Arabidopsis thaliana: one gene and its partners. The protein of the gene in region 2 interacts with the protein of the main gene of each other region in a pairwise test. Each region holds a gene or a part of one and is shown on either strand. Other genes may lie near its edges. The genes, in order: RSH2, AT4G28330 and AT1G03660.

Region 1 (10,897 bases), on a different chromosome or scaffold from region 2:
ATTTTTTTATTTTATTTTATAAAAATTGTTCTTATTTTTCGAATAGATTTTTATTCTTATTAGACCGTTTTTATTTCCTGTTAAAATAACGAATTTTCAAACCAAATCCAGCAGAATTTAATTTCGGCTTTATTTGGTTTGACTAAAAAATCGGAACCGGATTCTTCTGGCTCTTCTCGCTCTTAAGGCCCAATGATAAGCCCATTATTACTTGCCGCGTAAAAACATATAAACCTTAATACCCATTTTTTCTTGTGAAACCCTAATTTCAATCGGTGAGAAATGACGACTAGCAGGAAGAAGACAAGAAATCTTAGAGAACACGTATCTGTTGGACATGGTCGTTTTGGAAAGCACCGTAAGCTTCCCGGAAGTCGTGGTAACGCCGGTGGTATGCATCACACCGTATCCTCTTCGACAAGTATCATCCTGGATATTTTGTTAAAGTTGGTATGAGGTATTTCCACAAGCTCAGGAACAAGTTTTACTGCCAGATCGTCAATCTTGACAAGCTTTGGTCGATGGTTCCTCAGGACGTTATGGACTAAGCAACGAAACACTATGTGTCTATGATTGATGTTACTCAATTTGGATATTTTAAGGTTTTAGGGAAAGGTTTCTTGCCGGAGAATAAACCTGTTGTTGTCAAGGCTAAGCTTGTGTCGAATACAGATGAAAAGAAGATTAAGGAAGCTGGTAGTGCTGTTGTCCTCACGTTTCTACTATACTAAGCAACTTCTGACAAGCGAGTAGTATTATTCTAAATGATTTGGTAACTTTTCATTAAGACCCCAATTCTCAAAAGTCAAATTGTTTATAGATAATTATCAGCGTTATAACATATCTTGTCAGCGTTTGATGACATAACAAGTTACAGATTTTTTAGAAAGAGAGAACCAAATTTTGCTTTTAAGGTTCGTATACAAAAATGTGATCTGAAAGACTCATCAATATGTCTTGAAGTAATAACTCTTTCTAGTTCAAAAGAGTCTCTTTCTCTGCAGGTACTCCTCCCCATTCTTTTATCCTTTCCTCTGCCATTGAAGCCTACAAATATATATATCATTCAAAAGATTAGAACAATAAACTCGGTGAGCGAGGTCGTGACTATTCGGTCTTAAAGTGTTTTGGTTTCTTACCTCTTTCTCCCAATTGGTTTTGCAGATCATCCAAGTCAGGACTATCGATTGAACAAAAGTTCCCGTCACCATCCCCCACCAAATTCCCTGATCAAAATAGGTTTCCAAAACATCAAAAACCCCGGTCTTTCGTCTTTCCTTGATAAAGGTTTTACTTTTAGATAAAAGGATGTGAATTTCATTACCATTACTCCATATTCAAGCTTAAATCCCAATAATAGACCAAATGGGACTCCGAACAAGTAGTAGCATGCTATGTTCACATACGCTACAACTGCTTGCCATCCCGCTCCCACAGCCACTCCTGCGTTATCAAATTTATCATAATCTCATATACATTCGGTTTACGTTATGTACAACCATATTATATTGGACTATTGGAGTCCACTAAACAAATATTACCAGACAATACAGGTTGAACATTGTTGATGACAATGCAAAAGGCAAGCATTGGCGTGAGTTCTCTAACCACATTTCTAACTTCTTCATCTTCCACAAACAAAACCGGGTACTCATTGCGGAAGAAGAGTAGGCCGGCTGCTATAAACATCCCAATTGCTGTCGACAATATCACAGCCACAACTAGAGAAAACTTGGCCGTTCTTGGGTGGCTAGCTCCTAGCTCATTTGACACTCTCACACTGCCAACAAAAATGTATTATTAGCTTGGCACTTGTTAGATGTGTAGAATTTGTAAAGAGTTAGTTTTATTTCACACGCTAGAATTTACCTTACTGCTGCGTTTGTCCCAAACGCAACCATAGCTGCCCATCCCAAAATGTTCATGCTTCATATTCCACACACCATTAATTAAGGAAAACAAATCATTAGAAATTTCTTTGCAGTGGAAGTATTCAAAATTTTGAATTCTTAATACATTAAGGACATTGATTATTAAACAAAACAAGAGACTACTACGCACGTTGGGTCTAGTCTTTATTCAGAGAATCTCTCTGATAATAAATAAATGAATCAAATAACAAATCATGTAAACCTTAAATGTTGTAAAGATGTTAATTAGTTTAAGAGATATAACAAATTTTACCATATGGAGAGTGCAGCTACGGAGACTTCAGCATTCTTCAAATATCCAGCAAATAATACGAGTGCCATAAAATACCAAATCTCCAAACTACAAAAGTAAATAAATTGTATTTAAAATATGAATTCATTAATGGGGTTGGATCAAATCGGACCAAAATAATTGGAAGAGAAAAAAGGTTTGCACTCACCAGAGCATGGCAGCAGAAGCCAAAGACAATTTAACAAACCCCCACAAATTGTGAAAAGCCTCCCACGTAAATCCAGACCAAGCCTCTCCACACGTACAATTAAAGATATACACAAGTTGTGCAACAACGATGACCCACCACGACGTGTTAAGCACTAAAGCTAAACCAGGAAGTCCCCAGTGTAACCTAGACATGACTAGCCACGTGAAGAAACTATGGATCACAAGAACCACACCGGATATTCCAGCCATGACCATGATCTTGCTTTGTGATTGCAAAAACTTCGCCGTTGGGAAGTTGATAGCGTAGGCAAAGATTTGTGGGATCATGTAAATGGAGAAAATCCCTGCCATGGCCGAGATTGCAGCGGTTTGGCCTATAAAGGTCAGGATTGGAGCCGCGAAGATATAGATTAGAGAAAGGAAGAGAGCGGTTACGCTTAGAATAACCCACGAGCGTTGTAAGTAAACGCCAAGCATTGATACTTTCCCTGCTCCAAACGCTTGTCCGCATAGCGTTTCCAACGCACTTCCCATTCCAAGCTAAAGGCACCATACATACAAATAATAGCCGTAAGAAATTTGCATACAAACTACCAAAATCATATTAAACTAGTTTTATAGTATGGCAAATATACAACAAAATGATATATATAGGTTGTTATATAAAAAGATTAAAGTTGATCGATTGTAGATTCTTAATACTTTGAATTTGGTGTGAAAAATGATTTGAAAGTATAATAAATCATTTATTTTAGTCTATAAAGAGATGCAAAAGATTTGTTAAATGTATACGTTCCATAACAGAAAGGGAAAAATGTGATCAGGGGAGACATATCAATGTAAAACGTACCATGATACCAAATGAAAAGCCGGCGATGACGGAGTTCTCAATGGAGACGGCGGCAAGAGCAAGAGTGCTAATATGTCCGGCGAAAACTTGAGTGACGGCTCCGAGAGAGTATTGGCTCATCGTTGTAAAAATGGCAGGGCCAGCTAGTTTCCATAGCTTTCTAGACTCGATTCTAAACTCTCTGACAAAGTCTCCGACACCGGAGATTGGAGGGATATCGACGGCGGTAGAGGAGAAGGAGACAAGAGAAGATGCTCTGCTTCCGACTCCAAGATACTCCATCAATGCTTTTTGGGTCGCCGGGTCGAGCTCCTCCTCCTCAGTTGACGCCAGAAACGGATCCTTGAAGTCATTATCTTTCTCCATTCTCCGACGACAAGAGAAAGAGAAAGAGAGAAAGAGAGTGCTTAAAGTTAAAGAAGAAGAAGGAGATCAATGATTTTGTAATCTTTAGGAATCAATGGTTTATGAATTATATAGAAGTTAATAGTTTTATTTTCTCTTTTATATAATATAGAGAACGATTAAAAAATAAATAAAGAACTAGATTTGGTACGACTTACGAGTGTTTGGAAGAGTGGTAAAAGACAGCTTTCACACTTAAGTTTTTGTTAATCAGACAGCTTTACACCAGTTAATCTTATTGACTTAGCGTTTCACAGTAGAATTTAATAGTTTATATGTTTGTGTGTGTGTCTCCATTACTGTATAATTGTCATTCAAAATCAAAAGGATGACGATTTGATATTCCATTCGCACGACTCGGCTAAACAATACAATAATGTAAAATGCAGTTATAATATATAAATCGTTTATATAAGAACATGCGACAACTCTTTTATTTCTTTTGTTTTGTTATATATCTTTGACCATTCAAATCTTTGTGTCGTGGACTCCATATGGCCTACTTCTTGCTACGTGCGGAGCAATTATTGTGAGTGTTTGTGACAATGTGGTAGATTGGGAAACATACAATAAAGATTTTATTCTAATTGGCCAAGATAGTAAAGACAGTAGTAGGCCCACTAGAGACATAATGAAATAAGAATAGGCCCATAATGGCCTTTCTAGCCCAATGGCATAGCGAGAAGATTACAAAGTTTTTCTTCCCTGCCAAAGATGTTGGGCTAAATATGCCCAAAAGTAAATAAAATAAAGATGTTGGGCTAAAAAGATGTGATCTATTGAAGATTTTAAGGTTTCATGGTATCTGTAATATACCAAAGTAAGTTCATCTTTCAATGAACTTTGACATAAAAGACAAGCTGTTTTGTTTTAAAAGTATTTGTAAAGTGGGAAGAATGTAATTGTTGTTTTTTTTGGTCACCTAAAAACACTTAATGATGTAATACTAATAGAAAGTTTAATTCAACTGCTATCTAATTTTGTTTTCAACTCAGTTAATATCTGATAATGAAATAAAGTACCAATTAGTAACTATGTAATTGTCATAGTTATTTGGATAAAACAAATAACCGAGTGTTTGATGTAAAAGAGCATATGAATATCGAAACGTTTTTGGTTTACAAGGTTAACAGACTAACAGTGTATAATAAATTATGAATCTACTGGTTTGTATTCTTGTGGTCAAATCATTATTATCACGATCAACAAAAGATAACTAAAAAACAAAATATGTATACTAAATGAAAATACGTTTGTTCATTCCATGATGAACAAACATTTACAAAAGCCTTCCATTACAAAGAAAGCAGTAACCAGTAGTAGGTTTTACATAACATACACAACTTATCACACAATTATAAATAAAATCAAGAAATTGAGTTCTTGAAAACTCTTAAGAAAAACAAAAGAGAAGAAGACAAAAACATAGTCAACAGTCGATACATATAAACAAAAAAAACACCATGAATTTATCAAGTTTGGGGATGAGTCGTTGTGGCTCGACCTCTTTCGCTAATGCTGGTTTCCGCAAATTTTTGGCTTCCGATATGTAAGTTCTTTTCTTTCTCTTCATCGTTCCATTCGGCGAGATAATAGTCTTCTTCAGTTACTTTTTTGGAAGAGGGTCCACAAAACATACCTCCCCATTGCGGAAAGTAAATCAAGCATATTGGTAATGAACATGCGATTGACATTACCCCCATTAGAGTTATACCCGTCTCTCTCGTGTATGTCGATCCTTTGAAGAATATCAACTGTGTTAAGACCGCGCCTACATTGCCTCCCGCACCAGTCATTCCCGATACCACCCCAAGAGATCTGCATAAACAAACTTTTGTAAGCAAAAATGTTGAATAACCAATCAAGCAACTCAATACCAAAATGTATGTTACCTTCTAGAAATAAAGGGAACAACGCCAAAGGTAAGTCCACAAGCGGCTTGGACGAATACAGAGAAGACAAGCATAACAATTATAGACACTGTCAAGGAAGAAATCTGGCCAAGACATGCGCATAATACACCTCCTGATGTTTGCACAATCCACCAAGCCCACAACCTTCCTCTCATCCCAAACCGTCTCGACATAAAATCAGAGAAAATTCCTCCTCCAGGTCTAGCGAAAAAATTGGCTAGTCCAAAACTCGCTGCTATAATCCCTGCTGTCTGGAGCTTTAAATGGAATCTATCGAAGAAATATTCTGCGATGATGTTGTCAATGGTAAGCTCTACTCCAAAACAATAGCCATATGCTAATGCTGTTATCCATCCCCTATAGTTTTTGATTCCATTAGATATCACTTTCCCCACATCATCTTTCTCCCTCTCTCCAGATTTATGCATCGCCCAATAATCTCCATCAGGAAGATCCTACTCATTTCCAAAAACATATAGCAAACATAAGACAAAACAAATGTATCCTTTTACTATTCCTTGTAATAGACACAACTTAGATGATTAAACAGTTATTGTCCATATCCACTGAAACTCGACCATGATTAACCGACTAAAGACTCTACTAGACGACCCAAACCGGTATCAATAAACCGGGTTTGCACCTAAACGAATCGGTTTAATCATTTATATAGAACAGGATAAACTGACTATACAAAGAAAGTAAATTTAACCAAAACAAAAAATAACTTGGTGATAAATTCTCAAAACCGGATTAGTTGAAAAAACCAAAATAACTGAACCGGTGAGTGTGATTGGTTTGTTACCTGACCGAACAAGAGAACGGCGAAAGCAGAGAGAGTCTGAAAGAGACCGGGGATGAAAAAAGCGATCCTCCACGCGGTGAACTTGGTGGCTCCCATATTACGAATCAACGAGAACACGATGGGCATGATCAGCTGCGTCGCGCCTCCTCCGAGGTTACCCCACCCGGCGGCGATTCCGTTAGCCGAACCCACGACGGGTCCAGAGAACATGGAGCTCATCCAGAACTGAGTCGAGACGAAAGTGGCGAGAGAGAATCCGGCGAAGAATCTCACCATGATAAACCCGATCGGAGACTTTATCCCGGCGGTGAAATAGACGGCGGGAGCGGTGGAGAGCGTCAAAGCGGCGGAGGCTAGACGTGGACCGAAAAGATCACATGCCGTGCCCATGACGATACGAGCGAAAACAGCGCCGGAGACAGAGGCTATTCCGGCGTTTCCGATGTCGGTGGCGGTGAGGTTAAGATTTTCACGGATAACAGGGAGGAGAGGCGGAGCTGCGAAAGTGGAGACGAAGCAGCAAAAGAATTGAAACCATGAGAGATGGAAAGCTCTCATGTGAGGTTTAGCGACTGAGAATAGTCGGAAAGTTGTTGCTTTGTTCTCCGCGTCCACCGGAAGTGCGAACCTCCGAGGTGCGGTTGTGGTGGTGGTTCCAGCTTCTCCTCCTTTGCCTTCGACCTCCATTTTTGTGATCTTTGTGAAGGTTCAGAGAATTTTGGAGGTTTAGGGGTTTAAGGAATGAGGAATCTCAGGTTTGAGGTTATGAGTATTTATAGAGAAGGAGAGTGTTAAAGCTGTGACATTTTCATGGATTTATGTTCTTGTGAAGCGTTGATGTAATCATTTTAATATTTATTTATTTTTGGATTTTGAATGCTATCTTTTTATTTTTAGTGTGATGGTATAAAAAAAAACTTGAATCATTACATAAAGGTTTTCTGGTTTTTCTTTCTAGATGAAAAATAAAATATATTAAATCTTGGTTTTGATTGAATCTAAGATGGTTGAGTTTAATGTGGTGTTTAGTTTTCGTTTAGATATATAAATTTTGTTATAACTAAGTTAGATTGTAAGCACCGCGATTGAATCTAAGATTGTTTGGTTTAGTACGGTGTTTTGTTTAGATATATAAATTTTGTATTAAGAGGGTTAGCACCGCTCTTTCAGAAGTATTGGAGGCTGACTTGAGATCTCAATTCACTTGTGGCAACATTGAAAGTTTCCTTGTGTCATCGACCATTAGAACGTGTAAATTTCGTGAATGTCATTAACTTTTATAGTCTTTTGTCGTATTTACAACATATTTTTTAGTTTTCTGTTTCTCTTCGTTACGTCTCTGTGTTCAGTATAAGTTCTAAAATAAATTTTCACATTTTATCTAAATAGAAAAGGTTAGATTGTAACTCAATTTGAAGATCAAGAGATTCATTTAATTAATATCAAATCGATTTGAGAGTTTTTTGTTTGCATTATCTACTTTAAACATTCTAATTTTTTTGAGTTGTGCATTGTGATTTGTGAAAAATAAAGTTATATAAATGAGAAAGAGAGAGAGTTTGAAATCAATTTTTGTTACAATTAATATTTGTTTTTGTAAGTTTACCAAAACAAAACTTCCATAATCTTTACTTTAACTGACTAACTAACAAAAAAATTCACAATGATGTTTTCCATATTCATGTCATTTTTTTTTATTTTCAAGCGAATTAAGAAGAAAAAATTTATTTCATATTTTCATTAATTTATATAGAGAAAGTTTAGACATTATTTATCAGAATTTACACTAAAATCCTAAAACAACACATTATTAATTTCTGTGGGCAAAAAGCAACAATTATTTTAAAGAAAACAATGGTCTAAAATAACAGTTAGTTTATTTTAATGTTGGATCTATGAAATATAGTATATGCATAAGATGCAATAATTCAATTAGTTCCCTTTTTGTTTTTGTCATTGAATGTTTAATTGAAAATCAAAAACTCAAAATAGTAGTATAAGTATTCAAATTATTGTTTTGGCATACTATTTATTTACTCTTAAAATCTTATAATAGTTATTTACATATCAATTAATATGCTTTACATATATATATATATATATATATATATGTGTATTATATATATTAATATTTGTTTTCGAAGTCAATACTTGAGACTCGGGGATCAGTTGCTTGCTTCGTTTTGGGCTCCTTAACCATGGCAAAGGTAAAGTCTTCGAAAACTTTGGCAAAGTCTTTACTCTTTTTTTTTTTTTTTTTTGTTACAACAACGTACGTGTTACAAAACTTCTCAACTTGTTGTTTCTTAAATGCTTTGTCTATATCGCTTGTATGAAATGATCTTTTCAAAGAAACAAGAAGAGGGACCATTTTGATGGTTTGTTTTCAAAGACGGTTTATGAATCTTATCAAGAAGTTTATGAACTCAAGCAAATATAAAACCACCAATATAGAAATAACAAATATATATGTTAAGATGTAAGAACTATATAAGAAAAGATGATACGGGATTCCAGATTTTTAAGAACTATATAACACACTTACCAAAATCTCATTTCACTGATTTGATCTATAACTTTGAAACTAACATCTCGCATCCTATTATGAAGTATTATCACGTAAATCTGTCTTTTTGCTTGTTTATTTTTTGGAAACGGTGATATCAACCTTTTGGAATTTATATATTTTATATTATGTATGTCAAACATACAAATAATTGTGAATCCATCAAAATGAATACAATTATACACACTAATCATGATTTTTGAAGATATAACTGAAAGTGTATGAGTATCATTATGATTAAATTTTCATAGGTTTATATGTATTTCATGGTTATAAAATTCAAAACGCATCTTGGATTTTATGATTATTTTTCTGTAATCTTTGAAAACTCACACATTTAATTGAATGTAAAAAAGACAATCTAAGATGAAATTATATTTAAAAACTTATTTTTTAAGGAACATTTAACATAAACCGACTATTTATTAATACCACAAAATTTGTTTTTCTCTTATGTAAATATCACTATATGCACTAGATAAAAACTTAATGTTTAAGTTGATAGTCATCGAACTCGATGAAAGAGATAAACTCGAAAAAGATATATTTTCTGTTTTGAAAATCTTTTGAATCATATATATATATATATATATATATATATATATATATATTTCTCTTTTTTTTTTTGCTATTTATAATGTTTATAGAGATTTGGAAGATTTTCAAAACAAAAAAATCCTGTTTTTGAATTTTTTTTTCATCGATTTCGATGGCTTACACATTAAGTTTATCTATTGCATAAAGTAACATTTTCAAAATAGAAAAGACAAAATTTATGATATCAATTAATAGTCGTTTTATGTTAAATGTTCCTTGAAAAATGAAAACTTTTAGATGTGATTTAGTCTTAGATTTTCTTTTTTTACATTCAATTAACTGTGTGAAGTTTTAAAAATTATAATGAAAGAGTTCTAAATTTAAGATAAATTTCGATTTTATAATGGCAGACCTACTAAAATTTAATCATAATGATGATTTATATACTTTCGGTTATATTATTAAAACCCATGATTTATGTAACTATTTCTATTATAATATAATTGTATTCGTTTTGATAGATACACACTCATTTTTATATTTGACATATAAAGTACATTTTCTAAAGGTTGAGATATATGACCACCTCCTAAAATAAATCAGCAAAAAAAAGAAGATTACAGTGTTAATACTTTATAATAGAATGTGAGATGTTAATGTCAAAGTTATAGATCAAATGAGTGAAATGGAAATCTGATAAGTGTGTTGTATAGTCCCTGAAAAAAACGTATAATATTTTCCTATATAGTTCTTAACACACATATATATATATATATATATATATATATATATTTCTATATTAGTGGTTTTATTTGCTTAAGTTCAAAAACTTGTTGATAAGATTTATAACCACCGTTCATTAAACACAAACCACCAGAATATTTAAATAGTTAAGCCGTTTATTTGGACTAAGCAACAATTCAAGTGTTGATTAAAATTGAGGAATATTCTGTAGGTCCCTAGAATGCGGACTTTTGTTAATGTGTGGAATCTTGTGAGCGAAGACTTTTCGCATCTCCTTCTCCCCTGGACCTCGTTGGAATCCTATGAAAGTACACTTCTTAATTAACTTGGGAGATAGATTCTCTCTTTCTTTTGACATTTGTACATTTGAAAAAAAAAAAAAAACAATTTACTCTTGCATACCAAATATGACATCAGTGAAACCTCATCAAGATTACGATGAACTCTATTTTTCCCCTCAAAAACAGTTGAGAATATAGACAATAAATTTTAAAGACATGTTATTATTGATCTTACCTTTGTTTTTAGGGTATTGACAAGAATGTTCTTCAAAAGCTTTCGATATTTGGTAATCTTTATATAAGCTGAAGTATCTACTTATTGAATTTATTTGTTACGGAAAACACAAAGCAGAATCGCATACTAGTCCTCAAAATGCATATATGATGATAAAACTGAATATCGGATATTTTACAGTGATTAAC
Region 2 (9,005 bases):
GTTTACATGTGATTCTCTCAATGTCTGTGAGAACAAAGTTCTTTCAACTTTTGTTCCTTAAGACGTCCTGTGACTTTACCCAATCTGCAAGATTGTTCTATCATCAATTTGTAAATGGAATCTTGTTCATGTGGAACAATCCCAAAGTCATCGTTGAATGTTTCCATGCCTTCCATGAATAGCTGCCACACTAATGTGCCTGCACCTGACTTCTTTCTTTTGGCTGATTTGTAAACCACGTCGAAGATGATTCTGTAGAACTTATCTCGCTGCGATGGTTCGTAGTCCTTGTTCTGGTTTGATAGGCCAAACTCTGTGAAGAGAACTGGCTTCTTTAGTTCTTTCAATCCATCTTCTATGTGAGATTGCATCCATTTCACCACAAACTTTAGCTTCTCTTCAAATGTCTGATTATGAAACCTGCCCATATATACATTTGTAGCAGAATAAAACAAGTGAGAAACCTGCACCTGAAGAGCTCAATGCAATTATATCTTGATTCTCTGATCCAGCTCACTTACCAGTGATCAGGGTAGATATGAACGGATGCAAAATCTATGTTTGAGGAGTTAGAGTTTTGAACAAAGTCTGTTCCGAGCTGGGATGCCCACTGTTCTGGATTAACTGTGAGCCCTTTCGGGCTATTAGGACCATAGAAGCCTTCCAGACCTACTGTGAGGAGATGCTTGTCATCGATTGACTTAATGAATCCCGTCATTTCGTCTATCCAATCCTGTGATCCAGCAAAGAAATACATAAATATATTTGCTGAATAAGAAACAATCTGAACGATTCCAAGTGGCAAGTGAAATGGAATACTCACTTGGAGAGTTTTGCCAGAGACATCAGTCGTGCATCGAGGCTCGTTTATCAACTCCCAAGCGAAAATCGTAGGATCGTTTCTGTACTCTATTCCCGTTACAGAGTTCTTCCTGGTGAGCAGAACCTGCGAATTAGGAAATAATCATTCAATCTTTACTCATTAAACTTCCTCTCACTATCACTCAATGATTAAAATGTTCAATCATAATCAGCAAGAGACCATTACCTTGAGATAATTCTTGAAGTAATTGCGGATAGATGGATCAAAGAAGAAGGAATCATTGGAAGAACTAAGACCAACACCTTCTTGCCATGCCCATTTCACATACTGAGTCTTCCCTCCATAAGCTTGCAAGTTGTTCACTAAGCTAAGCAACAATCTAACATCATGCTTTCTCGCTTCTGCAATTACATGATCCAAAGCCTAACCAACATTATACAAATCCCATTAAACAAGGACAGAGAGAGATCACCACATAACTGAAATTATAAAAAAGAGGAAGAATCATCAAAACCTGAAAGACTCGCTCATCGAATCGGCCAGGAGAGATCTGAAGAGCATTGTAGCCACCGTCATTGAAAGCCCAAGTTCTACAAACAGTGAGACCCATTTTAGCTCCAGCTTCAAGCATTTCACCGACAAGGTTTCTGCTATGTTCATCAACCGCATGGTCCATGAACCAATACGAGTTCCACCCATTTACATAAAGAGGCTTATCATCCACCACAAACTGAGTTCCGTTCCTTTTCACAAACCCTAACTTTGCTTTCCCTTTGTGATTCAACCACAAATCTCGAAATGATAGATAGATGAAAGCTGCACATATAAAAAAACCTAGAATTCGTAGCATTGGCCTGTTCCTTGTGGGAACCATGCTTCTGCCACCTCCTGCTTCACTGCTTCACACACACACACACAGAAATTTCAAACCCAGAATTGGAGAAAGAGCTCCTTTTTTAGTCGGTGCCCACCCAGAAGAAAAAGTCTGTGCCTTGTTCCGTGAATTTCTCTGAAACCCAAACCTTTTATAAAACCCAGACGGAAAAATCAATCGTTTGTAGAAAATTAGCAAAGATTTGAAAAAATAGCTCGCTCAATAACGCTTTAAGCAAACAAGGGAGATACGAACAAGCAGAAGAAATTGAATAATCACAGACACAGATCTATGTATCTTTGTATTTATATTAGTTGTTTATTAGTTATTTAGTTTCACTGTATCTGAAACTTAAAGGACCCAAATTACTATATTTTTCTATTAATTTTTTTACAAAAAAATAATATTTTTCTATTAATTCTAATTTTCTTTTGTGAAAGAAGAAAATAGCTTGAAATAGCCCTTTTGTATTTTACCTTGCAAAAGGGACAAGGCATAATGTGATGTTTTAAAAAAAAAAAAATTACACAAGGTATGATTTTACACTCTATTTCGTAAGTTGAAATTACTTATAAAATATCTTCATAAAAATTGGATATTTATAAATAAAAAAATGGTTGAAGGGGAAAGAACAGAACTTGACCCACCAAAGAAGAGGAAAAAGCACAGGAATTAACCTGGTATTTAGATTTAGAACTAAAAGAGACTAATATGTTGTTGGAAACTTTAAAAGAAGGAATTTAATTTTGATGAGTATCACAGGAAAAAAAATACATTTGAATCTCTTAGGAAAAAAAATAAACAGGGCCACATGCGTTGGAGTGTCATCAACTTCAGATATTTGAGAAAAAATGTTCATTGTTCAATCATGTGATGTGAATTGTGAGCCCAACTCATTTAGAACATACAAAGGTTAATTCTGAGAAGACAAAACAAATCAAATAATTACATTTACATAGAAAATATTTAGCTTCTGCATAAATTCAACATATTCAGTAGCATATTTATTTCTTTGTTCTCTTGAAAATCACTTTTGAGGTGTTCTCCACGTTGTTTATGATGATAAAAGAGCATAGATAGGCTTGACAATTACATTTGTGGTAAGATTCTTTTTATCCTTGTTGTTTAGTCAAAATTGTATAAATTACAATGCTAAATTATGTGAACCTGTTCATCACAGTCGTCTCCGCTTTTGTATTTTTCTAATGTTTTGTTAAGTTCTTAGAATATAGGGTAACAGTACTATCTATTTTCTCTGTCGACATTAGAAAACTTGATGCGTGTGTGTGGTAAATACAATAATAAATAAATAGAAGACAGAAGTAAAATACTTTGAATGCTGTCGGTGACTGCTTTTATTAACAGTTAACACCCAAAGAGTCATTTTAATAATACTAAGGAACAATGTACAGTATTAAATTTTTTTGGATATTTTGCTAGCTATTTTTTGTAATGCAAAGTGTAAAGTTATGTATTAGCCATCTAGTTTTGCAATCAAATTAGTGTAAAGGAAAAAAAAAGAGAGATAAAAGCAGCCTTACTGCTAATTTTGGACCATAATCATTTAATTATTATATAGTATTAGTATATCTAAAGGAGAAACATTCAAACAGACCAATTATTCTTTTGAAGGCCATGTCATGATTTACTACCACCAACCAATGGCATTCGATAATATTTGAAGACAAAGCAAACCAAATCAAAGTAACAATACTAACAGATTTTTGAGAATTACTCATTGTGGATAAAGATTCAAGAGCATTGAGGATCGATTTACTCATGAAGGATCCAGAGCATTGAATGTATGTACATATTTTGTCAAATATTCATAATTATATCTTTGAATTATCGTATGAACTTTTATCAAAAAAAGAATTATCGTATGAACTATGCATTGACTTGGATTGAGCATCTTCTTACACTTGTTATTATTGCTACATTATGAAAAATTGGTGCAACTTATCATCTTTTAAGCTTTTTACTAACCAACTTCAGCTTGGACCATACCTAATCACATGCACTTCCTCCTTCAAACACAATTTATCGTCTGGCCTAGTAGATACTGTATTTAATACGTTGTCACTAAAACAGTTCTCCACTATATACGATAAAATGGGCCATTAATGGTAACCCGTAAGCCCCAATGGGCCTTCTAACCCATATTATAGTTCAGGTTTCAGAAGCTCTTCCATGGACAGAGACAGAGAATGACCGACAAACAAAGAGACCAAAAGAAGAATCTGTGTTCTCTCAAATAAATAAACAAAAGTAATGTAAATTACTTCACGTGTCGGTATTGTGACGTGGAAGCATTCTCTCTGACATCATCAGAAAACACATCAATCCAACAAAGAAGATCGATATTTTCAGATTCAAGAAATCAAATCTTGTTAAACTAAAGTACAAATAATAATGAGGAAAGATTTCAATATACTAGCTGTGAATGTTTTCGTTAATGACAAGAATTCAAAAAAACGAATCAAGAAGATGAAGAGTAAGAGTTAAAGAAGACGAAGTAAGCAAGAAGAGCACAAAGAAGAGCCACAAAGTTTCCTTCTTTAAGAAGAACCCTAAACACAAAACCAGCGATCTCTTTCGTCACTTTCCTTCCTTCAATCACCACTCTCTTCCTAGATTTTCCGGCGAACGCCATCGTCACCACCACTGATATCCAGATCACCACGATCGCAGGCACGGCTATGAACAGCGCCGCCGCCATAGATAAAACTCCGAACACCGCACCAAGAAGCACCGACGCGTAAATCGCAGGCAAACCAGATGATGTCTGATGATTCTCTCCGTACCAATTAACTATTGAATTCAACGAATTCCATGAAGAAGACAATAGGATCGCGTAGACTACAAGAAACAGACAGGCCCATGTTCTTCTCTTGCTTATAACTCTCAAAAACAACTTGTACGAGGTCATCGTCTCTGGTTCTTCCTTATCCGCCATATTTGAGAACACCAGATCTGATCTTATGATTCTGTGTCTGGTTTGGTGAAGTTATGGTATATAGTAAAAGAGCCTTCTTTTGTACAAGCTTCTTTCTTCTTCTGATTCCTTTTTTGGGGTGAGTGTTTGCGGTGAAGAATTGTGAGAAAAGGAAAGTGATCGTACGTTCTTTTTAGTTTATACTTAAGCCTAGTCGAATCTGATGTAACGTGAAGTACACGCTCTTGCTGATTAGGCTGTGTTTGTCACGTGCCTCTTTTATTAGCGGTCCAGTTAAAGTCTTTGCCTTTTCCTGCAAACTGACAGTTGGAGAGCTCTGTTTCCATTTTTTCTAGTTTCACTTTTGGCTCACCTCCCAAACTAACCGTTTCATAAACCAAAGTGATTAGTGATTAATTTGTGTAATACTTACACTGTTTTTCTTAAAAGTTAACACCCAAAAAGTCAATTTATTATGTAAGGAACAATGTATCAAGTTTTTTTGGGTATTTTGGAAATAGTTAATTTTGTATAATGCAAAGTGTAAAGTTGGTTATTAGCAATCTAAGATCTTGCGATCCAATTTACTAGTGTTAAGGAAAGAAAAAAGAGAGATAAAAGCTGCCTATAAGCTATAACTGCTAATTTTGGACCATTATAATTTTATTATTATATAGTATATCTAAAGGGGAAACATTCAAGCAGACCAATTATTCTTTTGAACTACCAACCAATGTCATTCAATAATATCTGAAGACAAAGCAAACCAATTCAAAGTAACAATACTTAAAGATGTTTGAGAATTATACTCAATTACTCATTGTGGATCAAGAGCATTGGAGTATCTTTTTGTCAAATATGCATCATTATTACTTTGAAAACTATGCATTGACTTAGATTGAGTACCTTCTTACACTTGTTATTAATGTTGTATTCTGAAGAATTGGTGCAACTCATCACCTATGAAGCTTTTTTACTTACCCAACTTCAGCTTGGACCATACCTAATCACATGCACTTACTCCTTACACAATTTTTCTTCTTCTTCGTCGTCACATTCACAATATATCTGTTTCACAATTACTAGGCTATCATCATCGTACTCTAGTATTTGGCATCTCACATAGTTTAAATATATTTATATCAAGTATTCAGCTGATAGAAAGTTATAAGTTAGATACTGTATTTAACGTTTTCACTAAAACAGAAAATGAGCCATTGATGGTAATCAGTAAAGCCCAAATGGGCCTTCAAACCCATATTATAGTTGAGGTTTCAGAAGCTCTTCCACGGAAGAGACAGAGAATGACCGACAAACAGAGAGACGACCAAAAGAAGAATCTGTGTTCTCTCTCAAAGAAATAAACAAAAGAAATGTCAATAACTTCACGTGTCGGTATTGTGACGTGGAAGCATTCGTTTTGACATCATCAGAGAACACATCAATCCAACAAAGAAGATCGATATTTTCAGATTCAAGAAATCAAATCTTGTTAAACTAAAGGACAAATAATGAAGAAAGATTTCAATATATACACACTTTTTTTTTGGTATCAATGTTAAGTTTAAAAAAAAGAAGACGCAAACATGCAAAGAAGGGAATCGAACTCAACACCCAAAACTTGCATGGGGTGTTGTACTATTTTACAACATATACCATAAGATAAGATGTCAATATATTAGTTATGAATGTTTTCGTTAATGACAAAATGCAAAAACTGAATCAAGAAGATGAAGAGTAATAAGAGTTAAAGAAGACAAAGTAAGCAATAACAGCACAAAGAAGAGCCACAAAGTTTCCTTCTTTAAGAAGAACCTTAAACACATAACCAGCAATTTCTTTCGTCACTTTCCTTCCTTCAATCACCACTTTCTTCCTCGACTTTACGGGGAACGCTATTGTCACCACTACCGATATCCAGATCACAACGATCGCTGGCACAGCGATGAACAGAGCTGCCGCCATAGATAGAACTCCGAACACCGCACCAAGAAGAACCGACGCGTAAATAGCAGGCAAACCAGATGATGTCTGATGATTCTCTCCGTACCAATTCACTATCGAATTCAACGAATTTCTTGAAGAAGACAAAAGGACCGCGTAGACTACAAGAAACAGACAGACCCATGTTCTCCTCTTGCTTATGACTCTCAAAAACAGCTTGTACGAGGTCATCGTCTCTTGTTCTTCCTTATCCGCCATATTTGAGAACACCAGATTTTCTTATGATTCTGTGTTGGAATTGAAACTTTGATTAAACCTGAAAAAGAGAAAAGCTTCAAGTGGGAAGAAGATGAAGAAAAGAGAAGAACCAAAAGCAAAGCAAAAGGAGAAGAAGAAGTTGTCGAAGAAGAAGAGTCAACAGAAGAGATGAGAAAGTCAAAGATGAGGCTATTGGGCTAGAGTGAAGCCCACATAGTAAATTAGTAATTGTGTGTTTTGGTTAGTAAATGGGCTATTATTAGAGTTGAGCCCAGATTTTGTGCATATGGTGTGCTTATAATTAAGCTAAGCTAGAGTAGCTAAAGAGTAGTTGTTAAGAGGAGTTGTGGTGTAAGGTTTAGTAGTTTAACGTTACTTGTGGTTTTAGTCTAGTCCTTAGGAATAATCATGTCTAAGTGGGAGTAGTTTTAAAGCTAGAATGTTAAGTGTGTGAATGTGTATCTTGTGGTGAAATACCACTATAAGTATGTGTATTGTGTCTTGTAGAGTTATCCTTGTGATCCATTAGTACAATGTAGACAACTAAAAGAAAAAAAAGAAAAAATCGTTTCTTGTGTTTCTCTCTAAACAATAACAAAAACAGAGAGTGTAACAATGAGAGAGAGACATAAAGAATGAGAGTTCTAACCTAGTGTAAAAGGGAGGTAACATTCGGTGTCTGGTTTGGTAAAGTTATGGTAAATAGTAAAACAATATTTGCAATGTTGCACACTGTCAACATCTCCCAAACGCACCGTTTCATAAACCAAAGTGATTAGTGATTGATTAGTAATACTTGCACTGTTGCACATAGTAATAAGAGAATATCAACTTCAATGTTTTTGAATTGAACAATGAACCTACCAAAAAAGTAGTTACTGTTAGGCATTTGACATGATGATTTTAGGATTAATATATACTAGGTCCTATTAATACTATGATGCTTACAGGTGACGAATAATTTGAGTTATGTGCGATATGTTTGAAAGAATTAAAGAGGAGAATCAAGAAGAAGATGAATATTTGACATTTCAAAGCTGACTTTTTTGACGAATAAGTTCATCATTATTCACACCTATAAATGTGGACAGCGAAATACCAAGTCCAACAATTTCACGATTAATTCCAAGTGGCTTGGATCAAGAAATATACAAAAACAAAATTCCAAATGCTTAGGAAAATAAATAAACGAGAGATCAAATTATCACGGCGGATATTATTTCGTCCACATTTGTTGTTCAAACAGATTTCTAACACATATAATTAGCATATATACATTAAACAACATTATCTCCTTAATAATTTTGACTCTGGAACAGATCTTTCCAGTTTCAGACAATATATTTGAACAATCGGTTCGTTGAATCGAGAACAAACCAATCAAATCTCTTTTGACAAAGCTCTTCTTCTTCTTCCCATAAAACTTCACAACGGCACACGTCTACGAAAAAACCTCTCTCAGTCATCATGTTCTCTAAAGTTTCCATTCTTCTCTTTTCCCTCGCATCCCTACTCTTGTTCCGATCAACCACAGGCATCGAATTCATCTACAACTCCAATTTCACCACAACCAACACACTTCTCCTCGGCAACGCCACTGTTAAATCTCCACCGTCGATCCTCACCCTCACCAACCAAACCACTTTCTCCATCGGACGTGGCCTCTACCCTTCAAGAATCAACGCCTCCTCCTCCTCTGCCTCGCCGTTACCTTTCGCCACATCATTCATCTTCTCCATGGCTCCTTTTAAACACCTCTCTCCTGGCCACGGCTTCGCCTTCGTCTTCCTTCCTTTCTCCGAAACCTCCGCCGCAAGCTCATCTCAGCATCTCGGCCTCTTCAACTTCACCAATAACGGTGACCCCAATAGCCGAATCTTCGCCGTTGAATTCGATGTTTTCGCTAACCAAGAGTTCAACGACATCAACGACAACCACGTCGGCGTCGACGTCAATTCTCTCACTTCCGTTGCATCTGAAACTGCAGGTTTCTATGGAGGCAGAGACGGCCAGAGATTCACGGAGCTGAAGCTTAACAGTGGCGAGAATTATCAGGCGTGGATCGAGTTTAATGGGTCAGCGATCAATGTCACGATGGCTAGAGCTAGCTCTAGAAAGCCCATAAGACCACTCATAAGCATTCCATTAAATCTCACTGGAGTCTTACTTGA
Region 3 (10,389 bases), on a different chromosome or scaffold from region 2:
AAAAATGGAAATTTTCATTGGAATTTTGCAACTTTTAGAAATTGTAGAAGATGAAGAGAGCTGTGTGATCCAAAAGTGTTTTTTTTTCTCTCTCTTTTTTCGTTTTTGTTTTCTTTCTCCCACCTCTCCATTGACCGTTAAGTTGCCGCCTTCTTCTCTCTTCCACCAAATTGTTCTTGACACATTTGGACGGTCCAGATTCATTACAGTTCACCTATCAACGGTGATCAGATCAGTTGAGAGTTAACAAAACAATATTAAAGCCCATCTCAAGGCCCAATAAACGAGAGATGAAGAATCTGAAACTAGTGATCTGATTGGTTGAGGGAAAAAGCTGTAGCCTGGAAGACACGTGTCACTAACCCAAAACTACCTTATCTTCTGTCGCTCCTCAATTCGGGGAAAATCGAAGACACTGTGACACTCTAGCACCTTCAGTTCCGTACAACAATGGCTCTCCAAGCTGCCTATTCTCTTCTTCCTTCTACCATTTCAATCCAAAAAGAGGTATGTTTTCACCATTAGTAATGATTTCCATCTTGTTATGATTTGTTTTCGATAAAATGAAGAATTTACCTCAATGCAATGGTGATTTTGCAGGGCAAATTCAATGCTTCTCTAAAGGAGACGACTTTTACTGGTTCTTCATTTTCAAACCATCTTAGAGCTGAAAAGATATCCACCCTGTTGACCATCAAGGTAAAGTCAATCACCCTATACGATGTGAAATTCTCAAAAAAAGATATCGAAAACGTCCTGAGGTTTATACTCTGTTTCGTTGCAGGAACAGAGAAGACAGAAACCGCGATTTTCCACCGGTATTCGTGCACAGACAGTTACAGCCACGCCGCCGGCAAACGAAGCATCGCCGGAGCAAAAGAAGACTGAGAGAAAAGGCACTGCAGTGATCACTGGAGCTTCGTCTGGTTTAGGTTTAGCTACGGCCAAAGCTTTAGCAGACACAGGGAAATGGCATGTGATCATGGCTTGCAGGAACTTTCTCAAGGCCGAGAAGGCAGCGAGATCTGTTGGAATGTCCAAGGAAGATTACACAGTGATGCATCTTGATCTTGCTTCGCTTGAAAGCGTGAAGCAATTCGTTGAAAATTTCCGGAGAACAGAACAACCACTCGATGTTCTTGTCTGCAATGCCGCGGTTTACCAACCAACTGCTAAAGAGCCTTCTTTTACAGCTGAAGGCTTTGAGATAAGCGTTGGAACCAACCATCTCGGTCACTTTCTTCTCTCAAGATTGCTTCTTGATGACCTGAAAAAATCTGATTATCCATCAAAACGTATGATCATCGTAGGATCTATAACAGGTAAATAACACAGACAACTTGTCCATTTCCACCAAGATAGTTCCTAGTATCAAACAATGAATGTTCTTTTCTATGTTCTTGCAGGAAACACAAATACTTTGGCTGGGAATGTACCGCCAAAGGCAAACCTTGGAGACCTAAGAGGCTTAGCGTCAGGATTGAATGGGCAAAACAGTTCAATGATAGATGGAGGAGAGTTTGATGGAGCAAAGGCTTACAAAGACAGCAAAGTATGCAATATGCTGACAATGCAGGAGCTTCACAGACGTTACCACGAGGAAACAGGAGTCACGTTTGCTTCTCTTTACCCTGGTTGCATCGCTACAACAGGGTTGTTCAGAGAACACATACCGCTGTTTCGGCTTCTTTTTCCGCCTTTTCAAAAGTATATCACCAAAGGTTACGTATCTGAAGAGGAAGCTGGCAAAAGACTAGCACAGGTCAGTTTGCATTGCAAATCCTTTCTAATATATGTATAACAGATTATTGATTGATACTGAGGATGTGGTTTTGTTTTAGGTTGTGAGTGACCCTAGTCTTGGGAAGTCAGGAGTGTATTGGAGTTGGAACAATAACTCGTCTTCGTTTGAGAATCAGCTTTCTAAAGAAGCAAGTGATGCGGAGAAGGCAAAGAAACTGTGGGAGGTTAGCGAGAAGCTTGTTGGTTTGGCATGAACTCAAGATTTTTGATATGCAAATTCATATAGATTACTATGTTTTGTGACATGTACAATAAGTATGATCAATCAGACTAATCATTCGAATGCATTTCAATAGAGTTAATCATCGAATTCGAATCTGAAGACACTTACAATTAGACTGATGATTCGTAGATTGCTCCATAGTTGAGATGGGGACATGAATCGTTACTGTTGTTGAGACACGACCAACGAACTGCATCGTAATCCCGAGTAAAATTTAACCGATAAGAGTCTTCGGTCTTAGAGAATCTAACATCTTTCTTCTCTCTTCGAGAATTACCCGATGATCGGAATTACAAAACGGTTAACACCGGCGAGAATTGGTGGGATATCATGTCGTGGATCTTTTCTAGTGTGCCTTTTCTCTAACACGTCGTCGTTTTGCCTCATTCTTTAACAGATGTCGTTTAAAATTAATTTAAAGTACAAAAGAATGCGGTTTGGTGGATTATGTCGTGGATCTTTTCATAATGGGCCTTTCTTACGACCTAATTTTTTAACACGATGTCGTTTAAATCGATTAAAAGGTTTTAGAAAAATGCGGTGAGCGTGGATCGAACACGCGACCTTCAGATCTTCAGTCTGACGCTCTCCCAACTGAGCTATCCCCGCTTGGGATTATTTGATAAAATATTACATTATAATACTTACAAAAACGTTTCAAAACACTATCAAATGCCATTTCTCATTTTGGTCGACCATCGATGATAAGATTAAAAATCTTCTATTATGAAATCTTACACCACTTCCTAACATGAAAACGATTAAAAATCTCATTCTATATTGTGAAGAAGTTGATAAGTTGATGGTCCCAAGATGATTTCATCTTGCATCGTAAAATATCAAAAACTCGCTAGACATATGTAATATGTTGATGTAGAGAAGTAATCAATGAATGTGTACAAGGCATATCAAGCCCAAGCCAAGATATGGGAATACATATATAACCCCAAATCCAATGATTCAATCCTTTTGGGCTAAATAGAGTCATCAAAATCTAGGTACATTCTGTAAGCATCTCTATCAGCCGAGTAGTAGCTTTTCACTAGACAGTCTACTTGGAACCCAAGCTTTTTGTACAGATTCACCGCAGAAGTTCTCGTGGGGTCGACATGAAGTGAAACCCGTTGCACCTTTCTGCTTCTGCACTTGTCGATAGCCGCTCTCAACAATGCTTCTCCATGACCTTGTCTTCTGCAATTCTCCTTCACTACATGATTCCAAAACAACAGAAGAAAGTAAACTTGGGATACATTCTTCCTAATGTTTTTGCTCTTAACTTGCCTAATAAGAAAAATTCCATACGTGTTCTTGACTTATGAGCTATCTCCATTAATCTTTAAGCATGCAAAACCAAAGCTAGAACAAGGGCTTTGTCTAGTCAGAATTTCTATTGAAAGCTCTCGAATTTACCAGAATCATTGGTCCTTGACTATATAATAATCTACAGGTTAATTTATCAAATGGTTGAAAGATTTTTCAGTAGAAGTTTGGCAGAATAATTCCACTTCTTCTCTAACGAAATTATATTTTCTGAATTTTATCACTGAGTAATTTCATCGAACAGTTGGCGGACGTTTGTCTATACCTGCGAGCTTGGTGATTGAAGCGGAAAGCGAAGATGGCCAAGAATACATGGCATAGCCTACTGTGTCTCCTTCAGCATCCACGTATAGCAAACCGGCGTTTTTCTTACGCAGCTCTGCATCGAAAGTTTGAGCGAGAGATTCGTGTTTAGGGAACGTTTTCTTCTCCAGCTTCACGATATCTTCCACAACTTTGGCCCAACTGGTCGACCCTCTAATCAGCTCTACCACAACTCCTTTGTCCATTGTACAAAAGATTCGATTTTGTGGAATCTCTCGTTGGTTTCGCAGCCGGTGAGAGCGAGTGAGCCAAGGAAATTGTGATTTGATTTTGATGAAGGTGCGTAGCGACGGCGGGGACGACTTTTAGAAACTATTTGAAATTGTGATTTGACCCACAAATTTAACTTTTGTGACAATTTAGTCCCCAGAAACAGAGGAACTGTATCAGAGACCACACCAAATTAAAAGACAACATATTTGATCAATCACTGTGAACGAACTTATGAAAGATTGCAGATAGAAACAATCAAGAGCTTGAATGTGTAATGGAAAATGTTCACAAACCTACATACACATCACTTATGTGCTTTGGAGCTAAAGACATGGAAGGAATGCCATGGAAGGAGCATCAATACAAGACAAACTCCAAATGCAAATGCAACAACCATAGACCAAAAAGCAAACATGATAAGTACCATGGCTCGTTTCATAGCTTGCTGTATCAGAGGAATATCACCCAGATGTTGTGGCCAAATAAGATTCATTGTAGCTATGACAGACAAGAGCACTGGAATGCTATTGCAAACCAGAAAAACTATGAACACTGCTTTCTTGACCAAACCTGTGATGCCTAAATCTGGAGCAGAACTGGTGTAGATCTTTGTAAATGTGAAACCCATAACAAATGTCACAACTGCTACAATTGTTGTACCACCATAAGCAATAAGATACGTTCTTGTAGTTTAGATATTCTGGGACGCTGTGAAGCACTCAAGAGAATTGGTTGTGTACCATTTGGTGAACTAGCAGATCCCAAAGCCATATCCAAGCTTATTATATCTCTGAAAGATTGAATTAAACGAGACATGATGATAGGACTTCACAAAAACATGTTTTAAAAAGCAGATTCAGAAATTTTATCATAAACTTACTCTCTTTTTCCAATTGAAACCCAAAAAGAATAGTTAGAACTTAAACTTGAAAATACACACTCAAAGATTACCTTAAGACGCTTTGAAATCTAGGTGATGAAGGAAGACGAAGAAAATAATGTTGAAGTTTTGAACTTGTAGCAACCAAAATATTTAATCCTAACAAGTCATTGACTTAATCAAAATAAGAAAGGAGAAGTCTGGATGTGCGTACCAATCAACGACGATGTTTAGCTTGCCGAGCAAGCAATTAAATAATTGAATTAAGGTCGTTGACTCCAACGCAAAAAGTCGATGATTCAAAGGTTGGGTTTTTGTCTTTATCCAAAACAACCTTATAGTTTTAAAAATATAATTTTAAAAACATTTTAAAATAAAATAAAAATAAGTGTTAAAAATCTAAATTATGTGTAAACTATATTGAACCTAGGACACTTCTAAGGGGTTTGGATGTTGTGTCTAATTAGTTTAACACAATATTTAAAAATTTAACATTTATCCAAAAAAAAACTTATAGTTTCAATAGTAATATAAAAATATAATTTTAAAAACATTTTTTAATAAATTAAAAACAAATGTTAAAATTTTTAATTATGTGTAAACCATATTGAATTTAGGACACCTCTTAGGGTTTTAGATGTTGTGTCTAATTAGTTTACATAACATTTAAAAATTTAATATTTATCCAAAAAACCCTTATAATTTTAATAGTTATATAAAAATATAATTTTAAAAACTTTTTATAATAAAATGATGATAAGTATTAAAAATTTAAATTAAGTGTAAACCATATTGAACCTAGGACACCTCTTAGGGGTTTGGATGTTATGTCCAATTAGTTTACACAAAATTCAAAAATTTAACACTTATCCAAAAAACCTTTATAGTTTTAATAGTTATATAAAAATATAAGTTTAAAAATATTTTTTAATAGAAGAGAAACAATTGTTAAAAATTTAAATATGTGTAAACGAAAACAGTTTGTTAAATAAAATTAAAAACTACTGTTGAAAATACTTTTATTTTTTTGTTGAAAACAAAAACATTTTGTAATTTATTATTTTTAAAAAATGAACGAATAATAGAAGAAATAACTTACATGGAATCGTGTTAAAAAAAAAAAAATAATAATAATAATAATAATAATAACTTACATGGAATAAGTGTTGAATTGTTGATGAACAGTGTTTGTCCACAAATCTAGTAGGCGATAACTTTCAATAGGCTGAAATTGAATAAAACGAAGAAAGGAGTGAATATTTGGTTTAGGGCTAAATTTAGAGACAGTAGACAAAAAAAAAAAAAGAGAAAAGCATAGAGGATTTTGGAAATTACTTACCGTTACAGGTCAAGAAAGAGAGGACTATGACTTTATGAGATTGGTGTTACTGCATCATCCCTAGCCCTAATGGAATTGGACAAGGAAGAACGGTGATTGTAAACGACGATTGGGCCTTGTTCTCTCCGGCGATGACTGGAATCAAACGCCGACGACGTTTATTGTTCTAAATCTTCTTAAACTTCAAACCATCAAAGATAAACATAATCCAAAACAAACCCTATTAAAGATTAAACAGAACAACGAAACTCACAATTAAAAGCAAAAGAGATTCACACCAAAATAGTTTCAGATAACACGTACCGACTGAGTCAAAATCCAATCGATCCATAGATCCTCCGAAGAAAAATAGAAATGAAAGATGGTTTCTTTTGTTTTCGTTTTGCAGAAGAAGAAGAAGAAGAAGATGAATGAAGAATTAGTTATTTTACAAGGAAGAAGAGTATTTATAAGCAAACGTTGTTCAATAGAAAAAAGGAAATTTCTATTGTTTCCTTTTTGTTTTCGACTAGGTTAAGAAAAAGGAAATTTTAATTAGGCTGCAAAAAAAGAAAAGGAAATTTCCTCACAACGGTCATATTTGTATCTTACTGCGTAACAACAATTTATCAAGACAAATTATTTGAGGTTTCTTATTTTTGAAACAGAGAATTTGGCCTTGAAAGCGAGAGGAGCAAAGTCGGGATCATGCATGTGAGCTCTTTGCAACAGCCAACGGTCATATTTGTCTCTGTACCAATTTTTGTGGTTACTTAGTAAAACCACAATTACAAACTCGTGAGATACAAAAACTGTTAAAAACAAACAGAACACTAACCATCCATCATCCATGATACAAAACAGAGCAGAATAGAACAGAACAGAGCATTCTTTAACCATCCATGTTGTTGCTGCCTTCGCTAACAACCAAAAGCATCAAGAAATAAGGAAAGTAGAAGATATGTCTGAGAAAGCCATGTCTTGTAGACGAGAAAGCGTAAGGAATGATAAGTAGCATCAGGAATACCAAGAAGGCTGAATCTATGGCTAATACAAGATGGGAAAGCCATGGGAGATCGCTCACCACAAGAGTAAGTCCAGCCACAGATGCCATCATCATTGATACAACAGCTGTTAACAGAAGTGGTAAAGCTAGTCGAAAAGCTTTCTTTGTCAGAAGTGCATCACCCAGTTGTGCCCATATTAGAGCCATTACAGTTACCACAGAAGTGCACATTGCAATGTTGTTCAACAACAGAAATACCTTAAAATTCAACTTATTGACCAATGCAGCCATGCCTAAATGTGGAGCAGAACTCATGTAACCACCGGGTAATGTCAAACCTGCAGCGAAGGTCACGGTTGCTACGAGTGTTGCAGTCACCATAAGAGTATTGACACTATCCTTGTATCTTTCTGGACTTTGTTTGCTACTCTGTGACACAGTCAAGGGAATCAGGTTTGGGCCATGTGGTGCTCCAGCAGATACCAAAGCCATCCAAATCAATCTCTGTAAACCAATAAAAAAAGTTACATGAGACTTTATCATTAACTACATGAATCTTCAAATTTGACATACCTTGTAAAGTACGTAAGCGTTATTGTCCTTCATCGTCTCAGCAATATCTAAAGCTGTAAAGCCTTCATTGTTGAGTGCTCTGAGGTTAATCCCATCGTTCCATGTAAGCATATTCACAACTATCGGGTATCTGTGTTTAGTGGCTAGGTGTAACGGTGTATTCCCATTGATATCTTGTTCATTCATCATTCTTTTCCCTTCATCAAGTTTTAAAAGATACTTGACAACTTTCGACTTACCAGCTATGGCAGCAACGTGAAAGATATTCTGACATTGATTGTTAAGTAGCTCTCTTGAGTCAGGACAGTGTTTAAGAAACTCCTTAATGATTCTGACATGTCCTTCCTTTGCCGCCATATGAATAGGAGTGAAGCCATCATCATCAGCGACATAACAAAGGCTTGAAGCTGCTTTGTCAAACTCTGCTAGTATATAGCGAATTCCCTCATAACATCCCATTGATGCTCCATAGGAAAGACATGTCCTTCCTTCTTCGTTGCGTAATTCAATAAGTCCTGGATCTTGTCTAAGAACAATACCTAGGATATCTGTCAAAGCAATGACCAAGAAATAATTAAAACATATAAAGAACACTTGGCGTACAAGGTTGAACAAACATAGAAACAAACCTCTTCTATTGGCCTTCATTGCTGCATGTATAACAGATTTTCCACTGAACATCGAAGCTAGTATAGATGGGGAAGATGAAGATTCAAGCATTTTAAGCACGAGCTCGTGATATCCAGCTTCTACAGCCATGTATAATGGAGATGCTTCATCATTGTTCTTATCAAATGATACATCATGCTTCACACTTACTAGGCAGAAAGCCACCTCTACATGTTTTCCTTTCAACGCGGCATGTAGTGCAGTATCTCCGTTCTTGCTTTTAGCGGCAATAAACGCATCATAGGAAGAAGACTCTGTAATGAATCGAACAAGAATCTCAACAATATTGAGACTGCCTGCTCTGGCTGCAACATGAAGAGTTGTCTCACCCATCAGATTCACATTTTGTAGAAGATTTGGGAATGTAGAGATTATAAACTCCACTATATGGACATGACCCAAAGCAGCAGCAATATGAAGTATTGAATTCCCTTGATTGTCTACGAGTCGTTGAGTGACCTTTACGTCATCGTTTATCCTTTTCAGGAGGGAGACTTTGTCACCTGCTCTTACAGCACACAAAATCGCTGGATTCATAATCTCAGATTCATCCTTGTCTTTGAAAATAGTCCACTGATCTGGATCTGAAAGGGAGCCAGATGTGGACGAGGAGCTTACTGTTTCAGATTTACTGTCACACTTCATACTCTTGTTCAGTGCTACTTTCACTTTAAAATCTCCTGATCAAAAAGAATAAGTAAGATTTGATAATCCTAAAACTTCAGGAATATTAGACGACATAAACATCCACCTAAATAACTTTAAATTAATGCAGCATAAGAAAAAGTGAGAATTACTTGAAGCAGAGAGACAGATTCGAACAGAGAGAGAATCTATGCGCAGTACTGGGTAGATTGAATTACTTCTTAGGTTATGTAGAGATATAAATGTGAGAGATATATTCTCTTGATGACGTGAAGAGGATTAGCGTCGCTTTTATTCTAGTTCTAAACAACATCCGTAAGGTTCAAAAGATCAAACTTTTATCATCACAAGGTTTTGTAAGTTTGTGTGTAATGCTTTGACCTTGTCTCAGTTACGCAATGTTATTCAATGTTTTCGGTAATCCGACATTAGAACAGTATCCTTAAGGTTCTTCTAAAGATCAGACCTTTTTGTCATCACAAAGTTTTGTAAGTTTGTGCGTGTAAATGCTCTGACCTTATCTCAGTTTTGCAATTGTATTCAATGTTGTTAGTTAGAGATTAGAATTTTAGCCCCTACGACCAGGCCTCTTCAAAGTTCTAACCGTGTAAATTGGTAACAATAATAAAATGTTTTCGTAGACTTCAAATTCTGAAAACCTGAGACATCATATTATCATACAAGTCTAGATGAACAGTGATGAGTAGATAGGTAAAAGGTAGAGAGTCGAGAGATACAGAGAAAAGAGAACAGTGACTAGTAGTTCATTACAAGAATTTGTTGATGCTGGTTGCTAAAGTGTCTTTAGAGACAGCACCGATGATTGTATCCTTCTTCTCACCATTGACAAAGATCATGATAGTTGGGATGCTTCTAACACCATACTGGCCAGGGGTTGCAGGAGACTCATCAGTGTTAAGTTTGTAGAACTTGAACTGGCCGGCGTACTTTTGCGCGAGTTCGTTGACAATGGGATCAATCATTTTGCAGGGTCCACACCATGGTGCCCAAAAGTCGACAAACACAGGCTCATCAGCCTTGAGAACTAGAGAGTCCCATGTTGAATCGTTGACCACTGGAACTGCATGGATCATATAGCAAAAAAAAACCAAGATTAATGACTCACCATGAGTGTAGAATTATGAATGAAGGGATAACAAATCCAACAAACAAGCATCTTGAGTTTCTATAGATAGATACTTAGAGATCCTAATACATATGTGCATAAATAACATGACAAAGAGGTTCAAATCCGAAGAAACCTTTTTCTAGTTGTCTTCCAATTTCACTACTTGAACATGGAAGTCATTTCATAGACACTAAGAGAGAGCCCCATTAGAGTTAACCCATAAGAATTCCCAGAAACAAAACGCATAATCGAGAAATAGCATTGATTTACAAAGACGAGAGAACAT

The links.
Region 1: the proteins of AT4G28330 (region 2) and RSH2 interact in a protein complementation assay, tested with the Arabidopsis thaliana proteins (one large-scale study listed by BioGRID).
Region 3: the proteins of AT4G28330 (region 2) and AT1G03660 interact in a protein complementation assay, tested with the Arabidopsis thaliana proteins (one large-scale study listed by BioGRID).

The regions. Positions count from the first base shown.
Region 1 is NC_003070.9:4,412,541-4,423,437, reverse strand, and holds RSH2 (root hair specific 2), read right to left. Parts: upstream 3,725-10,897; 5' UTR 3,590-3,724; coding exon 3,224-3,589; intron 2,914-3,223; coding exon 2,372-2,913; intron 2,272-2,371; coding exon 2,185-2,271; intron 1,927-2,184; coding exon 1,870-1,926; intron 1,781-1,869; coding exon 1,542-1,780; intron 1,444-1,541; coding exon 1,325-1,443; intron 1,227-1,324; coding exon 1,140-1,226; intron 1,048-1,139; coding exon 976-1,047; 3' UTR 754-975; downstream 1-753. Other genes in the region: AT1G12960 (Ribosomal protein L18e/L15 superfamily protein), read left to right, coding at 283-391, 448-524, 603-731; NRT2.5 (nitrate transporter2.5), read right to left, coding at 5,101-5,446, 5,521-5,996, 6,347-7,033. UniProt on the Arabidopsis thaliana protein: Positively mediates root hair elongation.
Region 2 is NC_003075.7:14,018,276-14,027,280, forward strand, and holds AT4G28330 (pyrroline-5-carboxylate reductase), read right to left. Parts: upstream 5,031-9,005; 5' UTR 4,654-5,030; coding exon 4,177-4,653; 3' UTR 4,005-4,176; downstream 1-4,004. Other genes in the region: MAN5 (Glycosyl hydrolase superfamily protein), read right to left, coding at 18-420, 522-733, 824-946, 1,049-1,246, 1,338-1,697; AT4G28340 (pyrroline-5-carboxylate reductase), read right to left, coding at 6,355-6,834; AT4G28350 (Concanavalin A-like lectin protein kinase family protein), read left to right, coding at 8,302-9,005.
Region 3 is NC_003070.9:907,249-917,637, forward strand, and holds AT1G03660 (Ankyrin-repeat containing protein), read right to left. Parts: upstream 6,561-10,389; 5' UTR 6,406-6,560; intron 6,348-6,405; exon of another isoform or gene 6,284-6,347; 5' UTR 6,103-6,283; intron 5,989-6,102; 5' UTR 5,918-5,988; intron 5,018-5,917; exon of another isoform or gene 4,835-5,017; intron 4,674-4,834; 5' UTR 4,512-4,673; coding exon 4,188-4,511; 3' UTR 4,062-4,187; downstream 1-4,061. Other genes in the region: POR C (protochlorophyllide oxidoreductase C), read left to right, coding at 451-507, 601-699, 785-1,322, 1,407-1,762, 1,842-1,997; AT1G03650 (Acyl-CoA N-acyltransferases (NAT) superfamily protein), read right to left, coding at 3,001-3,233, 3,612-3,855; AT1G03670 (ankyrin repeat family protein), read right to left, coding at 6,974-7,591, 7,661-8,208, 8,290-8,974; THM1 (thioredoxin M-type 1), read right to left, coding at 9,742-10,055.